Lepisosteus oculatus: one gene and its partners. The protein of the gene in region 2 purifies or fractionates together with the protein of the main gene of each other region. This does not show direct contact. Links are inferred from orthologs where the notes say so. Each region holds a gene or a part of one and is shown on either strand. Other genes may lie near its edges.

Evidence for each region.
Region 1: the proteins of atp6v1ab (region 2) and atp6v1f fractionate together in Homo sapiens (co-fractionation; 3 studies listed by BioGRID and IntAct, with this or other methods). This does not show direct contact. The link is inferred for Lepisosteus oculatus from reciprocal best matches to the Homo sapiens genes ATP6V1A and ATP6V1F.
Region 3: the proteins of atp6v1ab (region 2) and atp5f1c fractionate together in Homo sapiens (co-fractionation; 3 studies listed by BioGRID). This does not show direct contact. The link is inferred for Lepisosteus oculatus from reciprocal best matches to the Homo sapiens genes ATP6V1A and ATP5F1C.

Annotation. Positions count from the first base shown.
Region 1 is NC_090702.1:45,634,527-45,645,032, forward strand, and holds atp6v1f (V-type proton ATPase subunit F), read left to right. Parts: upstream 1-5,412; 5' UTR 5,413-5,504; intron 5,505-5,841; exon of another isoform or gene 5,842-6,090; intron 6,091-7,261; 5' UTR 7,262-7,262; coding exon 7,263-7,420; intron 7,421-8,177; coding exon 8,178-8,379; 3' UTR 8,380-9,401; downstream 9,402-10,506. Other genes in the region: ankrd26 (ankyrin repeat domain-containing protein 26), read right to left, coding at 1-70, 4,414-4,616. UniProt on the Homo sapiens protein: Subunit of the V1 complex of vacuolar(H+)-ATPase (V-ATPase), a multisubunit enzyme composed of a peripheral complex (V1) that hydrolyzes ATP and a membrane integral complex (V0) that translocates protons.
Region 2 is NC_090700.1:4,081,979-4,092,597, forward strand, and holds the start of atp6v1ab (V-type proton ATPase catalytic subunit A), read left to right. Parts: upstream 1-6,405; 5' UTR 6,406-6,538; intron 6,539-10,619. Other genes in the region: naa50 (N-alpha-acetyltransferase 50), read right to left, coding at 328-505, 850-916, 1,521-1,640, 1,867-2,003, 5,314-5,321. UniProt on the Homo sapiens protein: Catalytic subunit of the V1 complex of vacuolar(H+)-ATPase (V-ATPase), a multisubunit enzyme composed of a peripheral complex (V1) that hydrolyzes ATP and a membrane integral complex (V0) that translocates protons.
Region 3 is NC_090702.1:43,107,758-43,118,759, reverse strand, and holds the start of atp5f1c (ATP synthase subunit gamma, mitochondrial), read left to right. Parts: upstream 1-6,595; 5' UTR 6,596-6,663; coding exon 6,664-6,704; intron 6,705-7,632; coding exon 7,633-7,667; intron 7,668-8,163; coding exon 8,164-8,295; intron 8,296-9,105; coding exon 9,106-9,310; intron 9,311-10,353; coding exon 10,354-10,497; intron 10,498-10,586; coding exon 10,587-10,651; intron 10,652-11,002. Other genes in the region: kin (DNA/RNA-binding protein KIN17), read right to left, coding at 30-80, 609-729, 1,169-1,226, 2,080-2,128, 2,720-2,901, 3,525-3,647, 3,918-3,961, 5,840-5,934 and 1 more.

The DNA of each region.
Region 1 (10,506 bases), on a different chromosome or scaffold from region 2:
TGCTTTGCCTTCTGCCAGGAAACGAACAATATCAGCATGTCCATATGCACAGGCAAGATGTAAGGGTGTTCTGAAAAAGAAGAGAGAAAACAAGGTTAAGAAAATATAACTTCATGTTTATCCTATTTCTGTTTTAGAGTAAGATGTCAGTAACATTTAAAATTACTGTAAATTGTGTACATACTGTATACTAAATGTGCAAAACCTTTAAGCCTCTATACGAAGCTATTATACAGAATATAGTTCTGTTGTTGTTCCTGTGTTGCGTGGATGTTTTATGTTTAGTTCAAGCGGTGAAGTACTTTCTTTTGGTGAGAAACTGCTCCTCATCTATTTGTGTGGTTGGCCCACCAGCAAATAATGGCTGCTGCATGCCACTCAGGTGAGTCCTGTCTTATATGTAAAATATATCCTTTTAGGAATTAAAAAAAACTACACACATGAAGAACTGTCTCTGTTTTTTACAGATGTAACTAAGTGTCAGTGTATTAATATGTATTGTAACTGTTGTAGCATCAAACTAAGAACATAAGGCAAAGCTACAAAAATAATCCATCGTTGTAGATGACATAACCCACAAATTAGGTGCAGCAGAACAGTTCAACAGTGATGAAACTAACTATACCAGACCAAATCCTGCAATTACTTTGGAAAGGCGAGTATGGTAAATAACCATTATAAAAACAGCTCAGATCCTGGACTCCTGCAGGGTTTGTACCCTGCGTGACCAGGAAGGAACAGCAGCGGGAGTTCTTTTAAATGACGACTTTAAAACAGAATCTCAGATTCGAAAAGGCGACTACTCTTTTTCCTTTGTGAACAAGCATCCAAATAATATCGTTTGATGCTGTTCATCAGTCTGATTTAGTGTTTTTAATTACCTACATACATTTTGCTGTTAAACCAAGAAAGCCACTTTAATAACTTCAGAAATATAGAACCTCAAAATTCACATTTAGCAGATTGGGTCTATTAACTCCAAAGTCTATTAAAGTGAAATCATTTAAACGGAGGATTGACTGTAATCTGGTCATTTGCAGCTGTTATACATATAAAAATGATTTATAAATCACCTCTGTAAACCCATGAACGCTGTACATAGTGATAAAAAATATACAATAAAAAGCTAAAAATAAAATACAGTCACCGAAAGTCTGAGATTCAGTCCTAGGTTCAGTGAGCAAAGGACCAGTCTCAACTGAACAGAGCCAATGGGAGGCAGTGTAAACATGCAGGAGTTCAGAGAATGATGGAACAGATTACTTAGAGGCTTAAAAGTCAGTAACAAGATGTTTTATTGAATATATGACTTTATAGGCAACCAAAGTAGAGATCTGAATGTAGGAGAGATATGTTGCCAGGGTCTGGTGTGAGTCAGAAGTGTAGCTGTGGAGTTCTGGATACATTGTAACATACTAAGAAAAGTGTTAGGGAGCACACAGGGCAAAGAGTTACAGAAATCAAACCCTGATGTCATAAATGCATTAATCAAGCACTTAGCATCCAACATTCATAAAAATTGCCTAATGCTCGCTATATTTTTAGGTGAAAAAAGAGATCTTCATACATTTTGTGAAGTGTGGCTCAAAAAATAGAAGGTGTGACTCCAAGATTCCTGACTATGACTGGTGTCGGAATGAGGAAGCCATCAACATTTATTGTGAAGCTTTCCAGTTTTTTGCTACGCACTAGTAAAATGTAGATTTTGTAACTATTTAGCATTAAGAATTTGATGTCAACTAGAGCTTGATGTCACACAGACAAGAGTAACATGACAAAGGCTGGAGATCAGAGGGGCAGATGTTTTAATGTAAATCTGAGTATCATCTGCGTAACAACGAAACAGAAGACCATGTTTGCATATAATCTGATCAAGAGAACTCATATAAATTATAAAAAGCAATGGGCCCAAGACCGAACCCTGTGGCACACCATGATTGACTGGGGCCATAGAAGATTTATGAGGACCAAGAAAACAAAATGCTGTCTGCCAGTCAGATATGAGTAGGACCAGTTAAAAACAGTACCGTTGGATAGACATCATATCAATAAAGAATAAATGCACACCTTGATATTAATGGCAGCAAAAACAGTTAAGAACCCAAGTTAGATATTTTAAAACAGACATGGGAATATGAGGTGCACTAAAATGTCAACAATTTTAATAAAAATTAAATAGTTATAATGCAGAAAATGTAAATTCACCAGGCCTTCAAAAAACTGCTGTTAGAAAAGACTATAGTTTTATACCTGAATTTATCAACATTAATCAACACACCTGACTGAGAAAATGATCATATGTGACAAACTGAAGCATTCTAATTATTAGAATGTATGGCATAGTAATCAGCTGAATAAATTCTCTCAGCTATTTAGGGTTTTTTTTTCTTTCCCTCCCTTATTCCCACTGCATTCTTCAGAACCTCAGCAACAATGAAGACTGTGTGCTAAAATGTTAACAGTGAGGTTGCAATCAAAATCAGCCATGAACTGAAAAGGTAAGACATAAGATACAACATGGACTCTAGCCATTTTTTCTATTACAGTAAAGTTAATAACAGTTTAATGACAAAACAAAGGAAAGTCTTCAAAAGGAAATAATATTGGTGCAATCCTGTCCTAACGCTTTGCTGTAGCAGGTAATAGCTGCTAGCATAGGATGCTTCCCAAGCTGGAGAAGTTAACACAAACCATGGAAAGCAGGGTACCGAAGCTGGCTAGCAAAGCTCAGAAACACTGCATTGCCTAAGAGAACTACACTTCCCAGAACCCCACTCAGTGACTTCCTGGGGTGTGTCTACATTGCAAGTCACTAAGATGCCTGCAAGTTGTGACATTCTGTAGGTCCCACCAGGCACTGGTAGTTTCACTGGCGGTGGTCTGTGTAACTGGCGCACGCTGACAATCAACTCAAGTGGGATCCCTTATTTACAGGTTTATTTTTTTAAAAATGAGAAAATAAAATGGAAGGGTTTCCAGACGTTTTGTCAGGATGGCACAGGATACAAGTACTATAGTACAGCTGATAACAGGGAACTAACTACCAGTCCACACAAGGATGCTACTCCCATCTCCTGTCCAACAACTGTGACACCTAGTTACATAGGGTAATCCAACTCTGGACATTGTCCAGTGGGTTTTATAGGAATCCTTAAAACTCCAGCTTCTTTAGGAATAAGGTAAGTCTGCAACTTGGCTAATTAGGTAAATTCAATGAGGCGATTCAGGCCTAAAATAGAAAGCAAATGACCAAAAACCTTCTGGTTCTCTAGGACTGGATCTGTACACCAGCTACAGAGCAATTTCTAAAGATGTACAAAGTGGAACCTGTAGCATACTCAAAACTGCATGGGATCCGCGTAGGTTTTTACATTTATTAGAAAAATATTTAAGTACCAATTGGCCCATTAACGTTCATTTGAATTCACATGAATGTTCTAAAACCTTCTTCACATGTATCTTTGAAGAACATTAGTTTTCCATTAGAATAAATTTATCTACAAATGTTCCAGAGGATGCTGATGCAAATTGCAAGTAAAATAAGTGGAGGATGACATTTGATGTTTAGTGGTTATCCTTTTAAAGATCGTATCGGATCACTTATTATGTTTAGAAATATTTGCTGTAGCTTAGTTGCTATGGCAAGTACACTATACTGTATATCAAATTAATGCTCAGCCTAAAACTAGAAATTGGACTAGTTCTGGCATATTTGCAAAACAAATGTGACCCAAGTTAAAAATGTTATTAAATGCATATTTTAAATAACAAAATGTCTTTATGTAGCGTTACAATTGAAAAAATTAATCAATTCATTTTTTAAAATAATAAACAAAATGTGATATTACAAAGATTAAATGTGAAATATTTGCCACTCCAATTAAATGTAATTTTGAAATAGCAAGCAGGCCTTTGCCCTGTAATCCACACTGCAACAGAAATAATAAACTACCATTTTACAGTGCTATCAAAAACTCTGCAGCTTACCTCCACCAATTAAAAACAGACCAAAAGACAGACAACAGTTAATAGCATTTACAAGTGTCTAACAATTACACCAGAAAGAACATGAACTAAAAGCTGCACAGGAACAAGAGAGGTAGGACTTAAGACCTTGGGCTCATCTAGCTTGTTCGGATGATTGCAACCATTGTAAATCATGTGCAGGTTAGTGTACATCCCATTTTATAGACATTTCTGGAGACAGGAATTAATTTGACATATTCCCCTAAATGTGAAAGAAAACTGGATTTATAAATCAACAGAAATACAGGATAACAGGTCTTGATACGGGACAACACAATACCTAACACATATTGAATTTGTTAGCAATGTTTCATTACACGATACAAACAAACTGTTTCAGAGTGCTGTTTTCTCAGGAAAGCTGTCTAGAGAGAAAATTAAACTTACCTGTTTTCTTTATCCAGCTGATTGAAATCATGTTTCTTTACAAGTTGTTTGAGCTTGGTCAGATCCCCTGTAGAAGCAGCCTTGTGTAGCTTTCCTAGATCTTTTTCCTTTAGCTCATATCCAGCAGACAGCACACTCCCCGTGTCAGACGAATTGGGAGAAAACCCCTTTTTCTTCTTCGCAAAGCTAAATATCTTCTTCATCGTGAACTGTTTCGAGTCGGACAAGGGATGCACGACTTCATCGCCCTGCAGTGTCCAGGCGTTGTTCACTCAGGTGCAAAAGAAGATTCACCTTGGGCGTCTTTTCCATTCCAAAAATAAACCAGTAAATCGGATAAGGATAATGATGTCAAACTCATGAGTCTAGCAGAATGAGAAATAACACGGCGATTTATTTATTCTATTTTATTTTAATAAAATACATACAGTAAATATGCCCTGAGCAATTAGGATGTCTGATTATGATAGCATGTTTGCGATCACTGTGTCCTGTATCCCTAAGACCACATACTGTACATAAATACAATTTCAGGGCATAACATGCAAGGATAATAATTTTCCTTACCTTATCAAATCGGGGTTTCGGTGAAAAATGGTCGACAGTGTAAAAAAGACAGCAATTGCCTCATTTGGAGTTTAGTCGTTATCAGTAGTTAATTTACACCATACTCCCATAGCTGCACAATTCGTGTACCACCAACAGCAGCAGCAAGGGCAGGAGCTCAATTTACAGAGTCTGTAACCAAGGCAACCACGCCGTGCATCTAAAAACAGAACAGGATGGGGGGTTTAACAGCCTGGCATTACAAAAACAACGAAACGGGTTTTCTCGGTTCGTATAACCGACCGCCACAATATCATACGAACATATCATTGATCAAACTAGACTGGGAATCGGCTACGACAGGTCTTGTCTCCACTGGCAGTGTTGGTGCTCCGAGTCTGAATAATTCATCGTCATCTACAACCGCGACATTTGAATTTGTATCCAAGGTGTCAGGTGAGATTCAGCGTCTAAAGAAGTCACGACGTTATACGAGTGTAACCTGACTTGGTGAAAAAACAGCAAATTATACTCGTCTGTACGAGGTAAGATCACCATTCTTCCACTACTGTACGTAAATTTCTTCTTTCGGATTCACAGACAACGAATTGCAAAAACGTGGCAGAAGTCTCAATTTTGAGCGGAATATGCCAAGGTATGACACCAAATACAAACACTGAAAATCAGTACTTTCCAATCGGGTCATTCTATCATTGCAAAGATCTTGAAAGTTTCCCATTTTCAAAATGTCAACCATAGTCTTTGCAAAAATGAATACAAATATAGTTGTTGCGTAACTATTTAACCACACAGCAAACTAAAAAACAACATGGAGAATTAAAAATAGGATCTTTTTTATTAGAAAAATCTAGATTTATATACCTTGCCGTTAACTCTGATCATTCGTGTGAATATAAAAAAAATCATTCTCATAGCGTCAAAAATACATGCTCTTCATATGTCTTTTGAAAAAAAAAGCAATATATAACAAACCTAATCAATACAAATCTTTCCCAAATCCATTACTTCACTTTTCTCATAGTGACCAACTGGCATTGCACGTTGCGTGGGGACATAGTAACATAACTGTGTGACCGGCGGTGATCGCATCCAATCCAGTGCGTGGGATCGGTGAGCACTCGCCCGTTATCCAATAGTTCACAGGCTATAGTCCTGTGGCATAGAGAAGACCCGCCCACTACGTGCAAGTGTGGTTGAAACAGCATCCCTACTAAGGGTTCAGTCTTCTCTGAGCAACTGGTAGTTTGCAATGCTTGGGTTTGGGAGACGGAGCAGATCATATTACACTTTCATTAATAATAAAAATAAAAACAACAAGTAGAAGAAATCTAAAAAATAACTGCATTCTGTCACCCCCCACCAAAGTGTGACCCTTTTCACTTAAACGCCCAATCGGTCTTTTAGCTCGTAGCATACATATTTCAAAATCCTTTGTTTTTAGAGAATGTCGGTGAGCACTGCCAGATCTCCAAGTCCAGCTACGTTACCCTTTTAAGATGGGTACCGTAGATGTATCGTCTTAGTTGCTGGGGCACACTGTTGACCTTCGATCAAATTCAGTTTAGTTTTTTTATTACATTTTCAATATAATGACGCAGTAATATAATGCAAAATCTTGAAAATGTATAAAACAACTGTGTGCAGTAATGGTGAAACTGTACTATACTCTCCCATCTGAGCTGTTTGAACTCAGACCCTTTTATTCCCACCACTGCAGTGTGTGTGTATGGGGGGAGGGGTTATGAGTGACACAGCAAACCCAGTATTTCAATATTTTAACGAATATTGCATTTGGCAATTAATCCAAAGTTTTTTTCCGTAATGTCTTAGTTCACACATACTGTAAATTCGCTTACGTCAGCGCTCTAACATTGGGCAATGCTGACAAAACTCACCCACAAGATGATTTTAGTCATTTAAAATGGTTCTAACACTTTGTAAAATAAGCCTAGGTCTATATTTAATACACGAATTAGAGGTCCTTCTTAATACTTTTTCCGTTAGCAAAGCTCTCTCCAACGCCAGAGAAAGGACAATGGAAACATCTCCATGACTGGATTTTATCTAGTGTTCCAGGTATCGATGGTCGTTAGCGTCGCTGAGTCTGATGACGTAATTATCCCGTGACTTGTCAGGAAAAAGGAAGTACGGCGCGGTCAGCTGATCAGGCGTCGTTAACTTGAGATTTTTCAGGTGTTTCGTTTATCCTGAAGAGAGTATAACCGAAGAAAGTATTGTCAGACTCCTCTGTGAAATAGTCAGGCATACGTTTTTTGTCCAGCATGGCAGGACGAGGCAAGCTGATCGCGGTGATCGGAGATGAAGACACCTGCACCGGATTCCTGCTCGGAGGCGTTGGAGAGCTGAATAAGAACCGTAAACCCAATTTTCTGGTGGTCGAAAAGGACACAAGCATCACCGAGATCGAAGAGACCTTCAAGTGAGTTTGAGCTGGCCTGATTTAACAATGCCGACGAGACATATATATTTAGAGAATATATAATTCAAAATATTGTGTTGCAATAAGTGTGGTTAATAATTTAAAACACTGGCCATGACTGTAAGATCAGCATGGGGGAAATGATTATTTTCTTGGTTTTGATGATAGCCTTCTTTCTTCCATATCGCTAAAGACATGCTCGAAAATCCAGTTGCACAAGGTCAAATTTAAAATAGAAATGACATCTCTGTTAGTTAGTAGAAGACTTAAAAGTAAGTCTGCTTGAAAAGAGTACATCTGCAGAGCAATAACGGTATCGTTAATGTTATGTTCCAAGTTAAATACCTGAGACCTGCAAGTGTCAAGCATTACGGTCTAAATACATTTTAAGTTGAGCTTAAACTTTTGCAGAGCGTTATGTTTGCAGTATAAAAATGCTAGTGAACCGTTTTTATTCTAATACATCTGGAATAATGACACATCCTCAGTTCCTCCTTTTTTCCTTATTTAAAAAACGCAGCGGGCACGCAAGCCTTCACGTGCTTCTGTGTCAGATCGCCACTGCTGTGTGTGAGGCAGTAGGCTGGAGGTTGATGGCATGTTGTTTCTGTGATAATTTGTATGCAATTTGCATGTGTTCCTCATGATTAATCATTGCAGTCATATATTCTGCATACAGAGTGAGGCACAGAATGTGCTCGTGTTTTTCAAGATTGTATCCCCCTGAGTAACCCCTCTTTTTTTCATCTTTTTCTAGGAGTTTCTTGGCTCGAGATGACATTGGGATCATTCTGATCAACCAGTTCATTGCAGAAATGATCCGGCACGCTATTGATGCTCACATGCAGTCCATCCCAGCTGTGCTTGAGATCCCATCTAAGGAACATCCCTATGATGCTTCCAAGGACTCCATTTTGCGCAGGGCCAAAGGCATGTTCAGCGCAGAGGACTTCCGGTAAACCTCCCCGAAGAGGCAGAGGATGTCCTGAAGCAGATTATAGCTTGGAAGAAGAAAGTTCACAAAACCTTCTCTGCCATTCTTATTTTATTTGTGTGTCATTTTCAGAATTCCATTCCATGCAGGAGAATAGTGGGAAAAGGGGAAGAGGGATGAGACATTTCCATACAAATCTGTTCTATCTTAATTTGAAGGATGAAAATATTTGGTCCTGTATAAAACAGTCGTTGGTCGTGCAAGTTTTATTTATTTTGGCTATTTCTTTATGTCATATGATGTGTGTAATTGTAGGAGATAGCTGGTACATTTCGTCTGGTAAAAGTCAAGTTTTGTTTTAGACAATTGTATCTTTTTAAAATTGTGATTTTGAATTTAAGTGTCAACATCGGTGGGGGGGGGAAGAAAACTGCTGCTTTTAGTGGTATGTGAGGTTACGGTTGTGTAGGTTTGTGACTGATACTGTACATGATTCATTCGGGTAAGAAGATCTGCTACACATTCATCCTCTCCCATTGTATCCTGAGTCATTCCTCCCAACCCCCTGTCCAGTGTTCGTAGTTAGGTCTTCCTCCGTGTTCCCAGCTTGTCAGAGACATCAGCTAGGTGACTACAAACAAGTTTGCTTGTTTTAACCACAAACAGCATTCAGCAGTGTTACTGGTGTGTAACAGATGGTAAAGGACTCTGAACCTGTTCATTCCTGACAGAAGTGGATTGTGTGCTATAATATACAAAGAGGCGCTGCTTTGAATACTGCCACTGGGTGTGTGTGGCGGTGGAGGGGAACATGTTTATGGTGAAGTTTTGAATTTGGACTTTTCTGCCATTGTTGAATCTGCTTCTATTGGCCATTACAAAAGGGTCTGCATATAACCAATATTATAGAAGAACTATAGTAATAATTTATTAATTTAAATGGATGTTAAGACTGCATTTTGTCCTTACTGGATATGTAATGTTTGTGAACTTGTTACCCACAATGTATAGAAATGTAACATCTCATTATAAATGTTTAAAAAGCTGGTTGTGTGAATTTTATTCTGTGTAGAATTTTAAATTGTTGAAGTATATTATAAGTATGAAAGTGTATTTATACTGACAATATTATGCATTTGAGTTATATTACAAATATAATTACAGTAGATTATTTTGTTTTCTTAGCACTTCAGTGTTGTTAATGAACAACATGATGTTTACAATTAATCCTTCTAAAGTTAAAACAATTTCAAGATCAATGCAGGCATAGTTTTCACATTGCTACATCAATATTTAGAATGACATTAAAAGTAACTATTTTACAAATTTAACAAAACTTTCAAAATATCTAGAGATTCCTATTAAACTGATACATACAGTACACTTAAAAAAAAAAAGAATGTCAGACCCCCATCAATAGAAGTGAATTAATGACAACTGCATCATTTTGAATATGGACATATTAGACATTGATTTTTAAGATTATTTTAGTTCAAATACACTTTTTATACACTTTTGAGTATATGCTGTTGGGAATTAATACAAGGCAGAGTTTAATTGTATTTACATTCTTTCATAATTATTTCTTTACATATGTTTTCTTGAAACCTAGTTAAAGATTGATTTGGAAAGTTAATAATTTGTCTGTTTTCACTGGATTAGGCATACCTCACATTCACACATTAGTATTAACATTAGGGTTTTAAGGATGTTCATTTCTTTCCACCTCATTGGCTTTTGTGGGTTTGTGTGATTCCAAATATACCAATAAAAAATACTTATTTACTAAATAGGATGGATTCAACTGAATTACTTAAATTCAGCTAATAGAGATCCAAGGTACTAGTTCAGAATAATGATTTCCACTGCAGAAGCAAAAAATGAGTCAAGATGAGGAGGCTGGGAGTTTTAGTTTATGATCTTGATCAAGAAGTAAAGCGGTAGTCTCAGTCATTTATGAATGTTAAAGGGAATTTAGGGAAGATGCTATTGTAAAAAGGCTAATGGTGAAATGTCAGTTCTTCAGTTATATATATTGTATTGTTCATTTTGTATCAAAATATATGATCCCATAGCAGTAACATTTTCCATACTTATCAATCTTTTCACTACAATCAACACAGCTTTCTTGTTCACAGTTATCTTAACTGCC
Region 2 (10,619 bases):
CTCGGAAAGACTGCTCCTTTTGGGAAAAAAAAAAAACACTTTCTTCTAGTGCACTTCTGAATTCTGAAATTTTTGTTTTTCAACTAATTAAAAAAAAATAGGAAGGGGAATGGGTGGAGGGTGGAGGGGGACTGCAACTTGAGTAGGGCTCCCGTTTTGCAAAAGAAACGCAGCATTTTTTTTTTTTGTTCTTGTCTAGTAAACTTAAATGTCCCTTGAAGAAAGTGGTAAAGGTGTCATCAGCCATCGGATTCTCGCACCAGGAGCCTCTCACAGTCCAGGCACGGAGACAGTGCACGCCAGAGCTCGTCCGCCCGTTTCTCAGTCCTAATTGCCTTTCTGCAGATCGCCGCTGGGGGCCGGACACTGACTCTTGAGGTTTTTCTGCAGAACGTGGGCGTCCGCTGGCTCTATCCTCTTGTAGTAATTCTTTTTCGTTTCTATGATCTCAAAACCAAACTTCCGGTAAAAGTCGATGGCAGACTCGTTACTGATCTGAACATGCCTGCGTGCCAATAAAAAAACAGAAAACAGCAGTGAGAAGCCGCACTGCCCGTCAGACAGAGAGCAGACGTGCTTGAAAGAGGACAGAGCTCTTGGCATTACTGCTAAGGTGTGCAACTGAAGGGAACTTAATGCATGTTGGTCCTCTAAGAACGTTATTTGGCCACAGGAAATACTTGTGGAAATACTTGACAGGTTGCAATTAGAAAAGCAGTTCCAAATGTCTGTGAACTTATAAACAAAGACTATAATTGTAAGAAAAAACAAATACTCAACTCTCATCTTACATGCACAAGGAAATAAGCTATTTTTCCTATTTATTCTTTGCAAACCAGGATTACTTACAGATAGATATTGTCGAAAGTGCCATCCTTCTCACAGATGTTTAACACGTGGTTCAGCATCTTTGTTCCTGAATAAAACAAAGCATACAGGGAGCTCAGAGGGGCACAACAAGAGACACCTGGCCTGTGGATTAAAAGGACCAGAACACACCCGCAAAGCTTCGAAATTGAAACGCGAGGAATGCATCTTTTATTCACAACGTGTTGCGTGATGTTTTCGAAAAGTGTTAGCAGAGATCTGTAGCGAGTCTCTAGACTGAACGAGCTTGGTGCTCCGTGTGTGTCTTCCCTTAACTGGGGCTCATGACTGCAGTGGGCAACCACAGAACCCTGTTTTTTTTTTCCAAACTTTTTTGCACACTTTGATTGGGGCCCATATTACAAGTATGTGCTTAAATTATCCCCCTGGGAATGCATAAAAATGTATTTAACTCAACCAATCTGATTTTAAGCAGTTTCTCCCTTTCATGTCTCAACGCTGTCAGCCCCGCCTCTCCGTCAGCCACTCTCTCAGCTCTTTCCAAAATCAGAAGAGCAGCTGCTGATAAAAAGCACGGGCCACAATCCTTCCGATTTGTGGGACGCATACGAACAGCAAAAAAAATAACAAAAACATCCAGTCTGCGTCCTGAAGAAGAGAGCGCCTTTCGAAGCAGGCCGGCAGAGTCATACCTATCCCCAGCCTGCGATAGGGCGCCAGGCAGCCCAAGGTCATGATGTAGAGCCTCTTCTGGTTCTGAGAGTGATCCACCCGGCAGCACACTGCTCCCACTGCGATGTCATTGAAGTACGCTGAAACACAGCGGAGAGCGAGAGTGAGCTCTCGCCCATGAGCACCAGCGCCCCCTACGGACCGCACCCGCACCTGCACCTGCAGGCCCTGCGCAGACACGCCACCCCCACCCTCCTCGCGCACGCTCGCCTCCCCGGCCCACGTCTCGCTGCCCTTGCGCGGCCCTTAATCACCCCCCCCCCTCGCACTCCCCACAGAATCGAGGACACCCCCAGCTCCACTCACCTAGCTTGGCCAGCTCCCCCACCTCCAGCACGTCCTTGTAGAACTTGTCGTTGTAGCTGACTGGGAAGATCACCTGGTTCAGCCGCTTCAGCTGCTTAATGTTGTGTGGCGTCACGTCTCCCAGCTCGATCCGGCTACTGGAACAGAACCAGACTGGTCAACGGCTGTGGCGTGCCCACAGTGGACACCAGCTGAGCACCACTGCCGTGGTGAAAACCCCTTCCCAGGATCGGCAGGAAGACCCATTTCCAATGCATTTCCTGCGCTGCGCAGACATTAACTGACTAACTTTGTGATCAACGAACAAACTATTTAATGCTGTAAAGAATTTTCCCGTCACAATGCATCTCACTGACGCACAGGCAGGATCGGAAACTCCAGGTGTGGCCGTGCGTTCTGTGGTGCTCTTGTATGGAATAGCAGCATGGGCAGGGGGCAGAGCAAAGAGGGAAAATGAAGACTCTGCCTGCACAGCAGTTTGATTCTTTGCAGGCTAAACCAGTACAAAAGAACAAACCGCACCGATGAAGCAGAAATGCAAATATTTTCAAATGACACTAACAGCACGCGTCTGTCCGTGCAAACGTATCCGCAGACCTGACAAAAGGACTGAAACGTTGATACACCTGGGTGCTGTCTTGCACGGGTGAGCCACGAGCACATGAGCTCAAAGAGCACTGAAAGAGCTGCCCAGCTCGCCAACACCTCCCAGCTGCTCCTCGCAGCCCGCGAGCAGAGCCAGGGCAGGCGGCAGCTGTACACACTGCTATCCAGCAGAGCCCACAGCCAGGCCAGCTTTTACACCGCGGAGCTGGACGCACTCCCGCCAATGTCCATGCTCTCCAGGACTGGCACAGCTGCCTCCTCTCAGTCCAGACCGAGCCCAGAGTCTTCGAGCTTGGATGTGTTCTTCAACGAGGGGACCAAAGGTCATGGAAATGTGGGCAAAGAAAAACTATGAACCATGTCCAGCAAGTGAGCGCTGGGTTCACAACTGCACAAATTAGCACCACTTCAGAACTATCACCTCTCTTCAAATCCCAGTCCCGGCCATTATTACTACAGTCCCGTTCTCTTTCAAAGCGACGGCGTGCAGTTACGTTTACTGTTGCCTTTTTCGTTTTCCTGTTTGCACGGCAGAAGGTTCTGAGCCGGACCCCAGCTCACAGAGCAGTGGGAATGGGCTCCAGGCAAGCGAAGTCTCTCAGCCGAGTTGTCACAAATGAGAGGGGCCCAGCCCATTTGGTGGTTAGTAGGCAAACTGATCCAACGATCTCCTCGAGTCAGGGTGTTGCTCAGCCTGTTCCATAGGAACTGTTCAAGCCCCTTTGCTGCAGGATGCCCCTGGGCACCGCGCAGCGTCCACAATACCGCAGCTGAGCCGTCTCCTTCCCTGGCGGCCGAGATCTGAGGGCCGGTGCTGAACACCGCACTCAGTTCCTCACCACGCCACGGGCGTGCCGAGGGTCGACTTCCGTTTCTTTGTGCAGAAAAACAGAAACACGGGAGCAAGACACAAAAACAGCTGGGTAACTCCGAGAAAAAAAAAAAGACTTCAGCAAGCAGGGGGCAGCCATTGCTGTCGATGGCAGGGGGCGCAGACTTGAGGAGAAAAGTCTCAGGCAGCGAGCGAAGAGAACCAAGTTGGACATCCATTGCTCAGCTCAGGTCAGACTTGGCCCTTGTTCTCCTATTGAGCTCTGCATCAGGAACCCCCACAGGACGACCGCACGGCCGACGGGCTGGGAAGAGAGCTGCCCCCTCCTCGGCACAGGGCCCACCCGCCCTGGCTGGACCTGTGCCCCAGGCAGCCCCGAGCCCAGCGCGCGCCCTGGTGTATTTATAGGGGCCGGCCGGGGCTGGAACTCCATTTTTAAACCAGCTGCCCGGGTCACGAGATACCGCACCAGCTGGCGGCAGGAGGGCGGCACGCGGCGCTGGCAGGACCCCGCTCTGTCCAGGGCCCCCCGCAGCGCATGCCACGCTGCAGCGCCTCGCCCGGAGGGCAACCCGGGGCTTGTCCGAAACAAGTGCTTTGTACAGGGGCGTCGAAGTAGCCTTTTTCACTCAAATGGCCTCCTCTCTCTCTCTCTGCGAACTTCTTAATGTACCAACGTTTTTTTGGTTAATGAACAGGATGGGCCTCCTCTCATTTATAACCCCCCTCAGTGACCTTCAGTTACAGTCCAACACCTCAATCAAGCGAGCAAGCCCAGACGCACAGGCAGGATCGGGAGAGACACAGACACCTGCAGACATGCTGTATGGAGTGTCTGATAGGTCTGCCTGCAGATACATCTTCTCGCCTGCACTCCACTGCGAATGGGGGGGGGAAACAACAACATCCCACTTAAATTGGTTTTGCTTTCTCTTCGTGAAGAATCATGTTCACGAACCCCCACCCAGCATGCACTCGTCAACCAATAACACGGCCACTGAAGGCTCCTGTCTGCTGGTTTACCTCCGAACCGCCCTTTTAAAAGCAGCTTTTGGGTCAAAGCTTCACAGGGGCCAGGGAAGCGCTCCCCACCCGGCAGTGGGGGGGTAAACAACGAGACAGGTGTGGACAGGTGTCTCGTGGCGGGGGTGGGGGGGGGTTTCTTCCTCTACTGCTGCAGCGCGCGCCAAAAGGCGTCCCGGGCTGGGCGACCCCGCACGCGCCCGGACCCCCCCCCCCCCCGGATTTTACCTGTTGATTTTTCTACAACAAATAACAGTCGATCTACTGGTGACGCCCCGGGGCGGGGGAACGTGTCTTAACCTTTTAGCCAACGCAACCGTGATACACAACGAAGACGTCGGCCGAAGCGCTATTACACCCCCAAATACTAACCGACCTGCGTCCGATATCGCCCACTGCGTGACTTCAGAAGGGATCCAACGGACAATTGTGCTCAAACACACCTTCGTTAACCCATTTAGTACACTGTTTTAAGGATCTTTCACTATCAAGACACAGGCGGAAGAAAAAACACTGGTTATAAAGTTAAGGGGGGTGGGGGGAGACTTGAAAATTAATATTTACAACAGCAAACGCTTCTACGTTATTTTCATTTTAAAAAACACACACACACACAATACAGAAGGGATCCGATTAAAACAAACAGCGGTTTTGTTTTTCGGCCGGTCCTCGCGAGGGAAAACCAAAACGGGGATTGGGAAACAAAACCCCAGCGATCCTACTTTTGCCATCTTGGGGATGAGAAAACAGGAGCGACACTCGCCGCTCGCTAACCAGGCGCCCGGCGGTCACAACGCTTCTGCTGGCGTTGGCAGATTCCTGCTTCCCACAGCAGCACCAGGCGAGCATGCACACAGCAAAGCTCATCGCAACACCCCCACCCCTCTCCGGAAAAAAAAAAAAAAGAGAGAGAGAGAAAAGAGGAGAAAAAAAAAACTTTATCCGTGATGGGGAGAGAGGCGTCTCGGCGGACGGCGCCTACTCACCCTTTCATGGTGGACAGGAGTTGTTTCCCGGGGGTGTCGCGGTCAAAGCGGAGGGCAGCGGCTCGTCCTTGGGGGGGATTCGGGCTGAGTTCGGGTGAGGATTGAGCACCGCTGTCAGCCAGAACCACATGGATCAACTTCGCTCCCCCTCCGCGCGCACACACACACACACGGCTGAACTCTGACCCCGCTCGCTCCGCACCCCCCTACCCCGGATAAAAATATTGCCTTCCCCCGCGGAGACCCCAAAACCGCCTGCCCGTCCCCCAACGCCACCCTGACGCGGTTTGCGACCGGTTTTCAGTGCGTGAAAATATTTTGAAAATGGGATTCGATTAAGCGACGAATTTAACGGCTGTTTTTTTAAAAAACGTCCAAAGGCCGTGACCTTTGACTCGGGCCGACGTTGCCGTTTTCGATTAAAATATTTTAACGACCGCATTTAAAAAAAATAAATTGATTGCGAGGAAATGCGACAGTATGTTTAAATGTTAAAAATCATTTGAGTTGAACTGAAGGAAAATATCTAATCCAACAGCGAATCGGATAGATCACGTGACCAGAAATACACACACGTGCCCTCCCGTAATATATCTGAATATTTCTTTACGCAATTATGGAAATTAATGAACTAACTAATCTGTTATTTTACTGACAGGCTATCTATTAACAGCTACTGTTGGTATCTTCAATGGCAATTATTCAAAAACAGTTTTCGAGTATACTAACGTTATTATAAATTTGGGACGCCGGTTACGGGTTAATATTTTAAAAAATATTTTGGTAAGATAATGACTCCCTACATGAGACGCATATTTTTGAATAGTTAAAAGCTAAGTACATCATCCTTTATGAATCATAATAGTGTTTTAGTTATTCAAATTATTTTATCAAGAACTAAACTGGATAACACGCGTTCGATAAAGTTCCTCCAATATCCCATAATGCTGTTTTCTTTCAATTTGACGGAGGGTGCGAAATATATAGGGGAAGTGACGAAACTGGGCCTAAATCATCTCCATCTTGGCTCTAGAAACGGCTTAGCTTAGCGGTGCAGCCCAGCATCCAGTTTTGAGCCAGTATGGTGTCAGTTTCCTCTCCTGTCGAAGGGGTAGTTCAGCCTGCGGTGAATGAAGTCAGCTGACTCCCCGATCTCTCGCTTTGCTGACAAGTTCCTTGCTGGAGGAGGGAGAGAAAAAGCTTTAAATAATTTCGTTTCTCGAAGGTAACGTAACGGTATTTGACTCTTTAATCACTGTTTTGTATGTGTTTAGCCGGTTTTATTGTGTTGCTGCGTGTCTTAAATTACATTTTCAATGAAATGCAGATTGTAAGTCGGTAGCAGACCTATGCGCCGCTGAAGTGACAGGCTGGACAGCTGATCCATATGTGCAAAATAAACACTGCGGGTTTCTGATGTGAATAAATTAAAACAATTTTCATTTCACGCTTCGTGCGGCAGTACTGTCACAGGCCTTCGTTTTTGTTTTTTTCTTTTAGCTGTCGAAACCGTCCTCGGCCACCATTGCACTGTACGGCAGTTGTGAAAAAAATAATTGAAAACAAAATGCAACATCGGTCCTTCAGTCGTATTAAAACATCCTAACCGTACTGTAGTCCAGTAAGCGTCTGAATTATTAGCAGACACTCTTCCATATCGGCTAGCATGTTGTGCTCGTCAGATGGAGACTCGGTGTGATATACCGTATTATGAAATAATTTTAGATTACGCTTTTTCGATGAACGCTAATATCTGAGCGATCACAATTACAGAGCCGATCGTATTTTTGAAGTGTCAAGATGCGAGTTCACTGCGCAACAGAGGTTTGTTCGTGGGTGCAAACGTGTTTTCGGACGCATTGCTGGTAAATACCGCTGGGCTTGCCAGGGGTCGTGTAGGTTTCAGTTTTAGAGGAATAGGAATAATTGCAATGCGGAAAGATGTCTCAAGTTAAGAATGTGTTGCGTGTTTACGTCGATGGAGGATAGCTAACGTATCCTGACGGGTATTGCTGAGACGAAGTACCCTAGACTAGATTTTGTTGAACGGATTCAGACCTCAGAGGTATCGGCCTGTTTTACGGGACTGAACTGTAGCGGTGACCGTCTCATTCCCCGTCTATGCATTTAGTTGCCTTCGCTCTGTCGGAGGGTTGGCTCGTCTTAACAAATGTGTATTAGACACGATCGACACGTCATGTGATCGAGTCAGCAGACCGGGCGAAATTTTCCGAAGGGCGCTCAGCATCTTTATGGGGTGTCTGGAGTGGGGCTGGGTGTACAGTTGCTGCGTAACAGATATATGGGGGTCCATCACATGCCGGGCGGTATCAGAACTGCATTCCCCTAAAATGTATTCTATGATCTGACGTAGAAAACGGAGTGATCTATTATGAATGATGTATTGTATTGTAGTCCATTTGTATCATCTGATCGGTCTAGCAGTTTTGTCATTTTGTTTTACATAAAAGTGGTGTGGATATTGTAAGGGTGATGTGCCCCGAGTATGGTCTTCCATTCCGGGTGATGCAGGATAAGGCAGGGGTTCCCAGCTTTGCTTTTGGGGTTCCCCCACTCCTGCTGGCTTTCTTTCCAGATGGGCTCTTGTTGGCACAGTAGGACCCTTGCTGTAATAGTAGAACTCATTGAAACTCTTTGACTTGGCAAACAGGAGTGCCTGCTGTTCTTCGTCTCCAATGCACTGGCCTCTAGTTCCTGTTTCACTGCTCGTTCAGAAGAGGCCGACTGGGCTGACTTTGTCTGTGCCCTTGAGGACCCTCAATACTCCCTTGAGTCACCTGCCCTGTTCATTTCATTTGGCGATGGTTCACCATCGCTGACGGCAAGCTGGACAGAGGCTTGGAGGTGTCCATTGAGCCTCGTGCGCTGTGACGCAGCGGGACTGTGAGCTCCAGAGTGACAGAACCTCGGCTGGGTGGGTTTGTGGTAGGGGAGCACAGCGGTGAGTCAGTCTCACGACGAACCTAATTTCAGAACCTGCATTGCAACGAGCCAGTGCCTTTTTTTATATAGGAATGCTTCAAGAGCATGTGCTTACTACCCTCCTGTGAATGAAGTATGAGCAGTTTTCAGGGATGGGTCAAAGATCCCGATTTTAATTTTACACTTTTGGCACTACTGTGCTTTGATGTGGAGTGTTAGTGAACTTGGTGGGTTTGACGGAAGATCAGTGGAAACTGTCTGTAAGTGAGTCATAACCGTGAATGAGAAGGTGACTCTGATGCATTGTTCCATTTTGGAAGTTCCTTTAATGTTTCTTTCTTTTATAGCATGATCCTATGCAGTTGTTCCACTGTCATGTAATCGCTACCTTGTGATTCAGTGCATAGGTCTGGGTTGGATAAACAAAGGTCCCCCTTTAGGTCTAATGATGGCCCGAGGGGTCCAAAGCTGCTGGCTGGTGTCCTGCACATGTTCATCTGCACCAGATTGTATTTGTGCCGCAAAATCTGCGCAAACATGCTGATCTTGGGCAAAGCCTCCAAGTAAACGTCTTATGAGGTGCTTAACAAAACAGACAACAATACTGTACCAACGGCCAAGTTGAGTGAAGACTGTGTCCAGACCCCTGCCCAGATCAGATTATCAGTGGTTGAACGTGCAGCCCAACCACAGATACTGACCAGTCAGAGCCAGAGGAGGTCACGTGACCGTGCCTGATCACACAGCTGCACCGGGAGGGGGGAGGGTGCCACATTGAGAGCCGAGCAGTGAGACGTTTTTCCCAAAGCCCCTTACTGTCGATCAGTTCATTATTCGTTCAGCTGGAGCCCACATCAGGGGGTCGGTCTCCACACGGGTGAGCGTAAATCATGCAGGCTGTCCATCCAGCAGCCCAGCCAGTGCGTTGGCAATGCCAAATCTCAACTTCAAATCTCTGCGTGGCTTTCATTTCAGCTCTCTTCACGCAAAGAGCTGTGTAGCAGGAGCCCTGTAGCACAATGGATAGGTACAGTACAGCAGGAAACCAGTGTTAGGTACCGTGACACTTCATTCTCGCACAGGTCTTCTGTGCAGCAGGTACGTCGTTGGTAAAATAACAAATCTGTTTTGCATGTTCTTTCCATGTTTACGTTGTTTTTTTTTCTCCAGTGCCTGACTTCCTCCTTCCTTCCAAAGTCACCCTGACCTGTGTAACTGGTTCCTGTAAGTTGTGCCCCCTGTGCACACGTGTGTGTCCCCTTCGCGTGGTCCTGCCCTGTGCCCTTGGCACTGGGATATACGCAGGGTTGCCACAACCCTGGCCAGGAATAAACTGCTTTTTGCAAAAACATAGACAGATAGACAGTAAAGTGACCTCACTTGAGGAAGGAGAGGAAGTGCTGGTATTTCTGAACACATGTTGTCCAGAGTTGTAATGCATGTAGTGGCAGGTCAGGTATATAACAAAGAGGTCAGCTTCCTGATCCTCCGCTAGCTCATCGAGTGCGGCAGGGTGGATGGAGAAATGGCTGTGACGGGTTCTTGTAATGGATTGCAGTCCAGGAAGTGCAGGCTTGCATGTGGCAACATGGGGAAATCTGTCCTTAATCAGGACTTTCTGTTCTCTTTTGTCATCAGTTGTCTGCCGAGCTGTGGTAACTGTTGTTGTTCTTTTTGCAGTTTTAACAGATATGACCAGGCATGCCTGTGAAGGTGTGAAGGATCAATTGGGCTGTTCTGCTTAATGAAGGCTTCTCTTCTTGTGAGTTGTAGGCAGGGAAAGAAAAGAATGTCCCGGTCCGAGTGTGGCAGTACTGTGGAAGGGGGTGTGTAGAAAGAGGGGTGATTCTCTTGTGCTTTAGGTATCGTGCCTGCAGGGGTCACAGCCCCTCCTAGATTTCATTCCAGCCCTTCTTTGAAAAATGGTCGTTTTATAGCGTTTCTCATCCCTAGGCGTTTGAAAGCTCTCTACAAAATGGTGGGGTCCACCTCATCCACCATTAAAGTACAGTTCCCATGTGGTTGGCGTCTGCATCTTACCAACACAGAAGATCAGGTGGAGGAGCGAGAAACTGCTCCTCCAGTTGAACTAGGAGTAAAATCTAAGGACAGGTTGTACAGGTCCAGACTGGAGTTGAGCCAGAGTACCAGGGTTAATGACCCTTTATGAATTTTAATGCTTAATGAATTTTTAATGGCCAAGCAGTCTGGACCTTTGCTTTAATATTACATCTGAAGGAATGGGTGCATCTCCTACAACATGGTGTCTCCCTGTCAGCGTTCTGGGGAAGAGGTTTGAAAAGTGCCACCTACTGGTCCACCGGCACCACATACAGGTTTTTCCTTGGTGGCCTCCCATCCCA
Region 3 (11,002 bases), on a different chromosome or scaffold from region 2:
GTGAAAAAGACTCAAATCTGAAGACTTACAGGATGCAGCCAGTAATCCACTCTTGTTGTTTTCTTTTTTTGTTCTTCCATCTAAAATAATTACGAAACAATCTAATTTTCTAACTGTTTTGATAAACCGATCCACAAGATGATATTTAAAAGTATAAATGGGGATAATTGTAACATCTTTTCTGCAATTTCCCTCAGGGGATCAATAAAGTATCTATCTTTTCATTTTAGGTTTTACATGTTTTATAATCCTGGAGCACTAGTGAAAATGAAATGCAGGAGACTTGGCGTTCATGTCAACATAATAGGTCTGAATTTTTATAGCCCTTATGGGCTTTACTAATAAGTAAGGACATGGACATTAAATGTTTCAAATTAAAATTGTTAAAATCAGTCATAACTCCCGGGTGTAAAAATGAACATAACTGAACATGTAATCTTAAATGAAAGATGTAATAAAATACACATAATCTTAATTTGGATAAATGCCCTATTAGGTCTGCCTAATGGGTATATTTCACCAACACTTGTAAATAAGGGCCTACATTTAGTACTGTGCACAACACATTGAAAACAAAGACTTCTATAATGACAATTTAGAAACAGTACCTCAATGATTTCATCCAGTGCAGATTTCTTCTTCTTCTCCTTCGATTCTGAGGTATGACTAGACTCCTTTCTCTTTACAGAGGTTGCTGCAACCTGCAGGGCACTTGGTCCTAGAGAAGTGCTGGGAAAATGATATGCTTTAGTTCTTCTTTTTAGGAATGCATTTATATTACAATTAAGAAAACAAAAGAAAATAATGAGAGTCAGGTAATAAAAAGAGTCCCATCAAAACAAACGTTTAGATTGATTATCAAGTTTAATATAACTTTTTTAAAATATCATCTTGTAACATACAATCTTCCATATTTATGTTAGTAGAAATGGAAGTAGAAACAGTCTTTTTATCATAAAACGTGCAAAAAGATTTATCAAGTCTTTATTCTCCTTAAATGTAAAAGTCAACTGAGATCATTTTAAACTCCCATTTAAAATAATACTCTAATCTACAGGTGTAAACACTGCTGTGCAGAAAAAGCAATTATAAAAGAAAAAAGAACAATCGCTAAAAATTAAAACAACCTGAAATTACATTACATGGTACTATTAATATTCATCCTTACCTTGATTTTGAAGAAGATGCTGCAGAGTTACTCAATCCCTTGGCCAAATTAAACACAACTGCAATATTAATAAATAATATTAACAACATGTAAAGGTTTTCCAGACCATTATGCCTGAGTTCACAACATCTACAACAAAATTAATAACTGAGTTAATCTTTTCTGTATCTATGAAGTTTCTTACAGTATTTGAAACTTCACCCAGGCATGTTGTTGAAGCAGATACCTAGGCATCCTTCAAGAAATGGCAGGATGAGATCCGCAGATCAACTATCTAAGTTGAGAGGCAAATACGTTAATGGGGTGAATGGCCTAATCTTGTTGTTGCTTTTACATTTTTTAAGATACTTGAAATTTCTTCTGATACTTTTCAGAAAATCAGAAGTAAACTGTGCTCTGGAGCAAAAAGCTTTGTGTGCCAGGGCAGTCTATGAAGATACTGCAGTACCAGAAAACCTGCCACTATAGGAAAGAAAAGGGCCTCTAACAATTGTAAATCAGTTCACTGGGTGACAGTTAATTATTAAATTACTGATGGAGAGATTGTGTCCACAGTCTTACATTAGCTGACTTAATAGCTATTATAAAAATGGACTTGCATGGCATGATTAGATGTTATTTTAGGTCAAGACACATTCATATGTTTACAAACAGAGCTTTTCTAAAGTTTTATGGATTATGGATTCAAGACCTAAAGATCTGCTATAAATTATCCCACACCTTATTTCTGTCAGCTATTTTAAATTTTTTGGTGAATCTTATCATATTTTCTTTCTCCTTAGATTCAATACTGGCACTAAAATACCTCAAACTGGATAAATGAATACTACAAACTTACTTGTAGTTACGAGCAAAATAACTTGTTTTTAATGACATTCACTTTTATATACATTAATGTTGAAAGTACTCACCCTTCTCTTCTTCATTTTCTCTTTTCAATTCTGTAAAGACAGGAGTTTCCTAGAAAAATAACATGGTAACTAAGACCAAGATCTTACTGATTTTGCTGGAGACGATTTAAATAATTAACTGCTGTAAGAGTGAGGATCTGTAGAGAAAGAACTTAAAGTGATTACTACTCTTTATTTTGGGTATTTATTCCACACAGGCCAAGCACACTTTAAGAACTAAGTATTCATTGCCCTTTAAGTTGAGCATGATCATTAGCTATAATTACCTGAAACACTGTACGTGTCATTAAAGAATGTTAAATAGATCATACTGTTTAAAAGAACATTTGTCCCATTTAACCGCTGACAAAAATAAACTCACAAGAATGTAGGTTAAAACTGCAGGAGTGAAATGTATAGCAAATGGGTTCTGAGATTCGTGATCGGATTTAAGGAACTGGTGCTTAAGGAACCGATGAGACAAAACCAACAGTCACTGTGATGTAAAGTTAATCCAGGCCATCTGTTGAAATTGGCAGAAATGTGGTGTTTTCAGCTGGGAAATGGACTTGGTTTATATGAAGTTTGAAGAGATGTGAATCAAACGTAAGCTTCTCTCATCTGTCGCGAATGCTCTTACTAATATTAGCACTGTGATTACCTCCTCCTTGCCTTCTTTGCCTCTGCGAACCTGTTCTTCAATAAATTTCGCACTTCTTTCTTCATCATCCAGATCCTGCTTTTTCTTCTTCTCTAATTCTTCCTGCCTTCGGATTGTTTCAGGATCCCGATCAATGTACTGGATATACCAGCCTTTAGGTGTCTCATCCACTTTACAGTATCCTAAACATAGAAAAACAGATTTCTATTCTCTTATACTTTAGCCCTACAAAGTTTAGGAACCTCTTATCAAAACAGTTCAAAAAGGCAAGAAATTGCGGGCCTGCAAGGAAATATTTTTTTCCATTTCACTGGGCATGCCTATAAAAGATTTCCATCCTATTCATGGTGTATGATTACCAAAGCTGTGGCTTTAAAGTAAGATCTGGTACCGATGTTTGGAGAGTGAGTGTTAAAGTGTGAAAATATGCATGGATAAACAAGGTTCTCTTAAAAAATATGATAAGATTTTTAACACAAGAAAATAATTAAAGCAGAAGAATGAAAAGCATTACCAACAACTGTCTAACTAGATATCACATGGAACAAGACATTTCTTTTTACAAACCTTCTATCATATTTAATAAATCCTATGATTCAGTATGTGAAACGTTAAGTTTAGATATATTTAAAATCTTTCAAAAATGATACCCAGAGAAAACAATGCCACAACTGGCTTTGTGACAATCAATCATGGGCTTAAATGTCCCTTTGATTCAAGGCAGAAATCCTCCCCTTCACCCACAGAACACTACTGCAAATACTGATATCCCTGGTAGATCTTTATCCATTTTAAAAAGACTTACCTTCTTTACCAAGCCATTTAGTGAAGTCTGTGAGGGTTTCCCACTGAGTAGAGTTCATATGGACATGTTCTCTGTTGCTTATATACTCATTATAGACAATATTGTTGTGGACTCGCTTTGTCCCTGCAAATACAACAGAAATCATTACTAAAATGATATATCAATGTTTTCTATTTGTATACTTTAATCCATTAAAGAATATGTTAAAAGCAGATGAGGTTCTCTGCAACTTTTACAATGGCAAATGTAAACACAGGCAAACTGTAAAATACAAAATTGATAATTGTTTATCTCCTCCATACTTTTCTTGTATGAACAGTGTTTAATATGTTAAACTTTAATATAATAAAGACTTAACTAAAGCATAGCTAGGTATTAATCCACTAATCTTACCAAAACGTCTTCTAATCAGCTCCAAAAAATCATTCTTGAACTCCCTAAAAGAGCAAACAACCAAATCAGTTCTATGCATTAATAGCAAGCAATCATAAATGCTCAAGTAAACCTTAATATTAATCAGAAATATAATTTATGTATTTTTGGTTAGCATTAATACCACAATTATATTACATGATATTTCAGCTGTTCAAGTCTTTATAACAAATCAGAAGTTTATTAGGAATAATAACACCAGGTAATTAAGTGTACTGAAAGGATTATGGAGCGTTTAGTCAAAATTTGGCTTAACCCCCTTTGTCTGAGGGCTAACCTCCTGGCCATAGGACGAGGAGGCTGAGACCTCTATGCAGAGTGAGGAGTGACCAAGGGGCAGCTGCAAAGGTGGAGAAGGGGTGGAGGTGGGTTGCAAAAGATGTATGTGAGGGAGAGAAGGGGATCACATACAGTATTTAAAGGGTTTTAGGAGAGGAAATAACATCAGGACTGATTGTGAATTACCGACAGCCCGGTCTGATTGAACCTGGCTGCCGTCATCCCTCCTGAACTATCGTTATAGACTCCATGACATTCCCCAAACAAGTAGTATTTAACATACAGAGGGTGCTAGTCCAGGACACACTGGACTACTGTATGTTCATGTCAGGATCTCATAACATAAATCAGCATCTGATACGTGTGATGTACAGGCCTCATCAAGTTCCTGGAATGAATGGATCTGACTTGAATCAGAGTCACCTTATTCATCAAACCTGGAATTTTGGTCTTCTGATCATTCCAACAAGAGCCTGGTGCAGAACAGGCAGACTACACAGTTATGGTCATAAGCAGGCTTTAAGGTATTTCCTCTAAGTTAAAGTGTCACCCGCTTTAAGTTATATAATATTTTTTTTAATTTTCTTCAACGAATGTTATTTCTTAGGAGGTAAGAACAGAAGTGCCTTGGGAACTCATCTTTGCTGATGATGTGGCACTGATGGCAGACTCAGAAGTAGAACTACAGGAGAAAGTGTTCAAATGGCAGAGGAGTCTGGAAAAGGGTGGACTGAAAATGAATGCAGAAAAATCTGAAATAATGGTAATGGAGAGAAGAGGAGATACTATGACCAATGTTGAGGAGACAAATGGAGGAAAACTGAAACAAGTTGATGACTTTAAATACCTTGGATCAAAACTGGTAAAGGGAGGAGAAACACTGGAGGCAGTAAAACAAAGAGTGAAAGCTGGATGGAACAAGTGGAGAGAAATAACTGGAATAATCTGTGACAGGAAAATTCCCAGAAAGTTAAAGTGCAAAATGTACAAGACTGTGATTAGACCTGTACTACTATATGGAGCTGAATGCTTGGCAGTTGGAAAGAGGGAAGAGAACTTGATGAGAAGAACTGAAATGAGGATGTTGAGATGGATTCTGCAGATTTCAATGAAGGATAAGATCAGAAATGAAGAAATCCGTAGACGATGTAGGGTGGTGGATGTGGTTGAGAAGATGCGAGAGGCGAGGTTACGGTGGTATGGACATATCATGAGGAGGGACGTTGAGGAAGTAACAAAGAGGGTAATGGAATTTGAGGTGGAAGGTAACAGAGGAAGAGGCAGGCCTAGAAAGAGATGGATAGATTGTGTGAGAAAAGATATGGAGGTATGTGAAGTGAGTGAGGAAGATGTGCTCGACAGAGACAAATGGAGAAGAGCAACCAAAGCAGCTGACCCCAGGACAGTCTGGGACTAAGGCTGTGAAAAAGAAGAAGAAGAAGAATGTTATTTCTTATCGGCACCGTCACCGTCTAGGTACTTCATTCTTTCTGATTTCCAAAATTTCCCATTGGCTAATCACCTAATATATTAACAACACAGGGCACAGTCAGAAAATGGAAATGGTAAAGGAACAGTCTTCAGTTGTCCAGTTCGACACTCACTCTGAGAAGTAGTCCATGAACTGGTCAGGATTCTCCGAGGCGAGAAGGAGCTGCCTCTGGTGCGACTCCGACATGCAGTGACATTTGAAGCCATTCTAGCAAGAACACAACAGGACTCATTCAGACCTTTACTTCGCGTTTTCTCCGTCTCGAATCACAGCAATTATCATTTGCAGTCAATAATTATGAGCTTAAAATACTCGACAGTTGCATCTGCCGGTCAGCACGCAGTAGCTAGTTGTATTTCGTCACTACATTGTATGATAATATTTCATAAAACATAATAATTGTGAGACGTTTTGTGGCGACATTTTCTTGTAGTGTGGTATGAACACGATTTAGACTTAATACCTTATCGTACGTTTAGCTTTTAAGTGTTATTTGTTAGTTGTTAAAATGTAAAACGTTGTGCAAACTAAAGTTAACCAGACTCACCTCATCTCTGCATTGTTTCTGACACATCTGACAATACCATCTTAATTTCTGAAGGCCTTTGGACTTTATCCTGTTGCTTATAGCTTTGGGACTCAGAAATTCCGCTTTTCCCATTTTGGAAAGCCAATGTTCACAAACAAAACAAAATAACGATGATCCCTGTTGGAACCAGAAGTTCACAACGCGCTCTCCTTACTGTTGCGTTTCACGTCATCAACAACTTGCGCTCCTTGTTTTCGGTATTGGGTCATTACGTCATGCTTACCCACACCGTCTGACCATCGCGAGACTGAGTTGGGCCATGTGACGTGGATTTGTTTGACTTCTTCTGCGGAAAGTGAAGTTTACGCGTGCGCAGTGAGTGGAGATTGACCTTCGTTGGTGTCACCATGTTCGCGAGAGCCAGCGTTCTGGTTTTTCAGCCACAATGGTAACGTGAATCTAATTGCAGGGTTAAATCCAAAACGATATCTGTTAATGTGCGGTTGGTTATTTTATGCTTTAGCACGAGTCAGATTTTGTGCTGTTCCGTAGAGACAGATCTTGCTTGGCACTATTTTACCGGTAGGCCTGGGCAGTTTTTTTTGTAGGGCGGCCAAGTTCATGCTATTAAGCGAGATTCATTGTAAGAAACATTTAAGTCTTTATTCATATCTTACCCACTGTTAGTATTTTTTGCTCTTTAAATTTGCATTTGCACAACACCTCATGATAATTTGAAACGCCGCCGTTGCATAAATGCTTACTGCGGTAACGATATAGCTCTCAATGTCACTTCTCCAAGACGAACAGGGCATTCATTGCATTATTGAGAATATGTTTCAAGCAAACATCAGACATATTAAAAACATATGTTTTACTATGTATTGTTCCTTTGTCATTGTGACAGTTAATATCTATATTAACGATATAGATCATTAGTGTCAGTTATTAAAACCGCCTGAACTGAAATTCCTATTTGAGCCTGTGCTATACTGTTTTACGGGGTGATTAAAAAGTTGTTAGCATTGATGTGGAAAACTTGTTTGTGGTGCAATTATTTAAGAAATTATTCAATTTGATGTGGCTACAAACATGAGTGGGCCATTTGGCATATATAGGCATTTAGAGTTTTAGTAGCTATTTGATCTGTGGGTCATATCTCAGCTTTTTTTTCAAACAAACGGCCGGATATCACCTTCAACATAGTGGCTGTGTAGCTTGTTCCACCCTCCTATAGCTTACTGTGTAAAAAGCACATCCTGTAAATTCCACAGACTACCTTTTGAATCTGTTTTGCATGCCAAAGGTGCACTGAATTGTAATGTTATAAATGAATCATTACAAATATTACTGACTAATATTAGCTTCTCTTGCAGTGGCCAAGTCAGGAACATGGCTACACTGAAGGACAGTAAGTATTGTTTAATAAAGTGTATTTTATCCTGTTATTTGGACATTTTGCTCATAGTTTTAGTGGATTTTAGTCTTTCATGATTAGCTGATTTCAGGTCTGCATCATTAGGTTAGTAAAGATCTGACGAGTGTGAAATGTAAAGCAAGGCATATAAATGTGAATTATGAAACTTTGCCAAGGGAAAAGGTTGGAAATGCATTGAAATTGTGGAAAACTTCTGTGACTAAAACCTAAGTGAACAGACTGTCTTAATTTCTCACATGCATTAATCTTTCTGTTCAGTGGACAGAAAATACCAAGATGACTATTCCTTGTAGCCAGAAATTAAGTGAATAATATTTTTCAAACATTGGTGCAATGGGATATGAAATGTAACTGTACTCTTGTCACTTTTTTAAATACTAGCCTGTTTCCATGCAGTGATCAGTTGAAATGATTAAAACCTTTTTAAAAATCTCTTGCAATTGTTCTTAGTGTATATATTTTTTTCTAGTCACCATTCGCCTGAAGTCCATCAAGAATATCCAGAAGATCACCAAATCCATGAAAATGGTTGCTGCAGCAAAATATTCAAGGGCTGAGAGATCTTTGAAACCTGCACGTGTTTATGGAACTGGGGCCCTGGGTATGTTATTAGTTTCCAGGAGTTTGTCACAGGGTGTCACAAACTGCCCAATATATTAATTTAGATATTTGCCACAATGGAAGCTAGTCTTTCAGAAAAAAATGCTGTTTGTGTTATTTTAAAAGCAGATTTTTAAAAATTATAAAATGATATATTAATGTCTTTTAAAATAGTGCATTATTATTCAAGGAAGATTTTACATTGTAGAAAACAGGATTTAAAGACGAAGACGCTGAGGGCTTTTACTTACACTTCTGTAAAGCACTTGCCACATAATCTTCTCTGCTTATGTGGGGGAAAAAAAGTTCTATAGAATAATCTATACTTCTGTTGAGTTATTTTATAACTTCAGATGGGCTGGCATGGTGGTACTGTGTTTAGCATTGCTGCCTTGTTGAGATGGGGCCCTAGATTCAGTTCCAGACCTGGGATGCTATCTGTGTGGAGTTTGTATGTTCATGTGTTCACGTGGGTTTACTCCAGGTGCTCTGGTTGCCTCTCACATCAAAAGACATAATGGAAGGTTAATTGGCTTCTGAGAAATCTGGCCCTGGTGTGAGCGTGTGTGTCTGAGTCAGTGGTAACCTTTGTTACCAGTGATGGACTGGCATCCCATCCAGAGTGCACCCAGCCTTGTGCCTGTTGCATGTCGGGATGTGCTCTGGCTCCCCTGTGATCCTGAATTAAATAAAGTGATTAGGAAATAGATAGGTTGGGACAGTTAAGATGTTTTAAGTGGGATAAACAGGCTTTTGGGTGACTGTAATAACTACCTGCCAAGCTTGAGTAGTGACTCTGATATTTTTCCAGCTCTGTATGAAAAGGCAGAGATCAAGGCTCCAGAAGACAAGAATAAGCACGTCATTATTGGCGTTTCTTCCGACCGTGGTCTGTGTGGTGCTATTCACTCCAGCATTGCGAAGGCCATGAAGAATGAAATCGCCAGTCTGACCAGCGCCGGGAAGGAGGTCATGGTGGTTAGTGTTGGGGACAAGCTGAGAGGTATCCTTCAAAGGTAATCCCTACTTTATGATAGTCCTGTTAACTGATCTTGTAATTGACTTTAGTCATTCATAACAAATGTCTGTTGTTGCTGCACGCTGTTTTTGTTTTTAATTGCTTTTCTTGAGTCCTGGCCATTTTATTTTTCACTTTTATTGAAGTGAAGACAGACAAAATATTGAAAGCCGATACCAACTTTGTATTAAGTACTGCCCTTAAAAGAAAAGTTCATAATGTACTTTCTTGTAAATCAATAACAAAAACTTTTTTTGTGTGTTTTTTTTTTACAATGGCACTCATTTATACTTTATATATAGTTTCGTGGCCTACATATTACCAATATGCTGAGCTGGGCAGAGAATATTAGTGCAATTGTGAAGAAAGCCCAGCAGTGTCTGTACTTTCTGAGGTGCCTAAAGAGGAGTGGCACCCACAAAAAAGCACTGGTTAGTTTGTACCGTTGTGCCATTGAGAGCATTGTGACTGGAGGTATTAGTGTGGTTCGGCGGTGCTACCCAGAAGTACAAACACATTCTCCAGAGAGCGATTAGAACAGCCGAAACATATCATTGGAACAGAACTTGCTTTGTTGGAGAATCTCAGTACAGCCCGCTGCAGGAGCAAGGCTCACGACATCCTCAAAGACCCACTCCACCCTAGCCAAAGTCTGTTTACCTGGCGAGACGCTAAACATAACCTTCGGCGTCGTGAGCAAGAGAGCATTAAGACCCGAAGGAACAGGTTTACGAACAGTTTCTTCCCAAGGACAGTGCCAACCGGCATAACGTATAGGAGGCCCACATCAACCTCAGCTCCGTAGACGCAATGTCTTTTATCACGTGTAACTTAGGAGCCATTCTTGTGTGGATTTTTTTTGCATAATAGTGTGTACAGGTTGTGTAGAGTCTTTTTTCAGTTTGTGTATATAGTGTCCTGCACATAGTCTGTGTGTTTACCCTTTTGTCTTTATGTTCTCTGACTGAGTGAAACGGTGTAAGATTTCCAACGCGCTGTTCGTGCAAATGGCAATAAAGGTACTTGAACTTTACCTGGCAGGACCCATGGAAAGCACTTCTTACTCAATTGCAAGGAAGTAGGACGCAAACCTCCCACTTTTGGGGATGCTGCCACCATTGCCACCGAGCTGCTCGATTCCGGATTTGAATTTGACCAAGGCTCCATCATTTTCAACCGATTCAGGTAAACATCCAGAACCTCATTTTAAACTCGCACGTTGGAGCTTTCAGCATCGGGTTGCATTTAAAACGGCTTCTTTTGTTTTTTCTTAGGTCTGTTATTTCGTACAGGACCGAGGAAAAGCCTTTGTTCTCCCTTGACACCGTTGCCAATTCAGGTATGTTATCCAATGAGAAGGATTCTTTTTACAAATATACTGCTTATTAAGTGTTTGTTGCTAATGAAGCAGTGTGATGATGAGCAAAGGTGCTATTTGCTTGCAAGTAGAAGCAGTTCAGGAATTCTCCAGCAGCTCATTTTGTTGAAATCCCAGGTGCTTTAACTAATAGGTGATAAATAATCTGATTATGCTAACAGGCATACAATGATAAGGTTGCTGGCTTCTGTGTTCCACTATAAAAGAGAAAATGGTTTTGAAAAAGAATCAGTGCCATTACGTTAACTTGAACACAGAATTTTATTTTCTTCACAGAGACATACATTGCATGAATGCCTATTATAAACATAA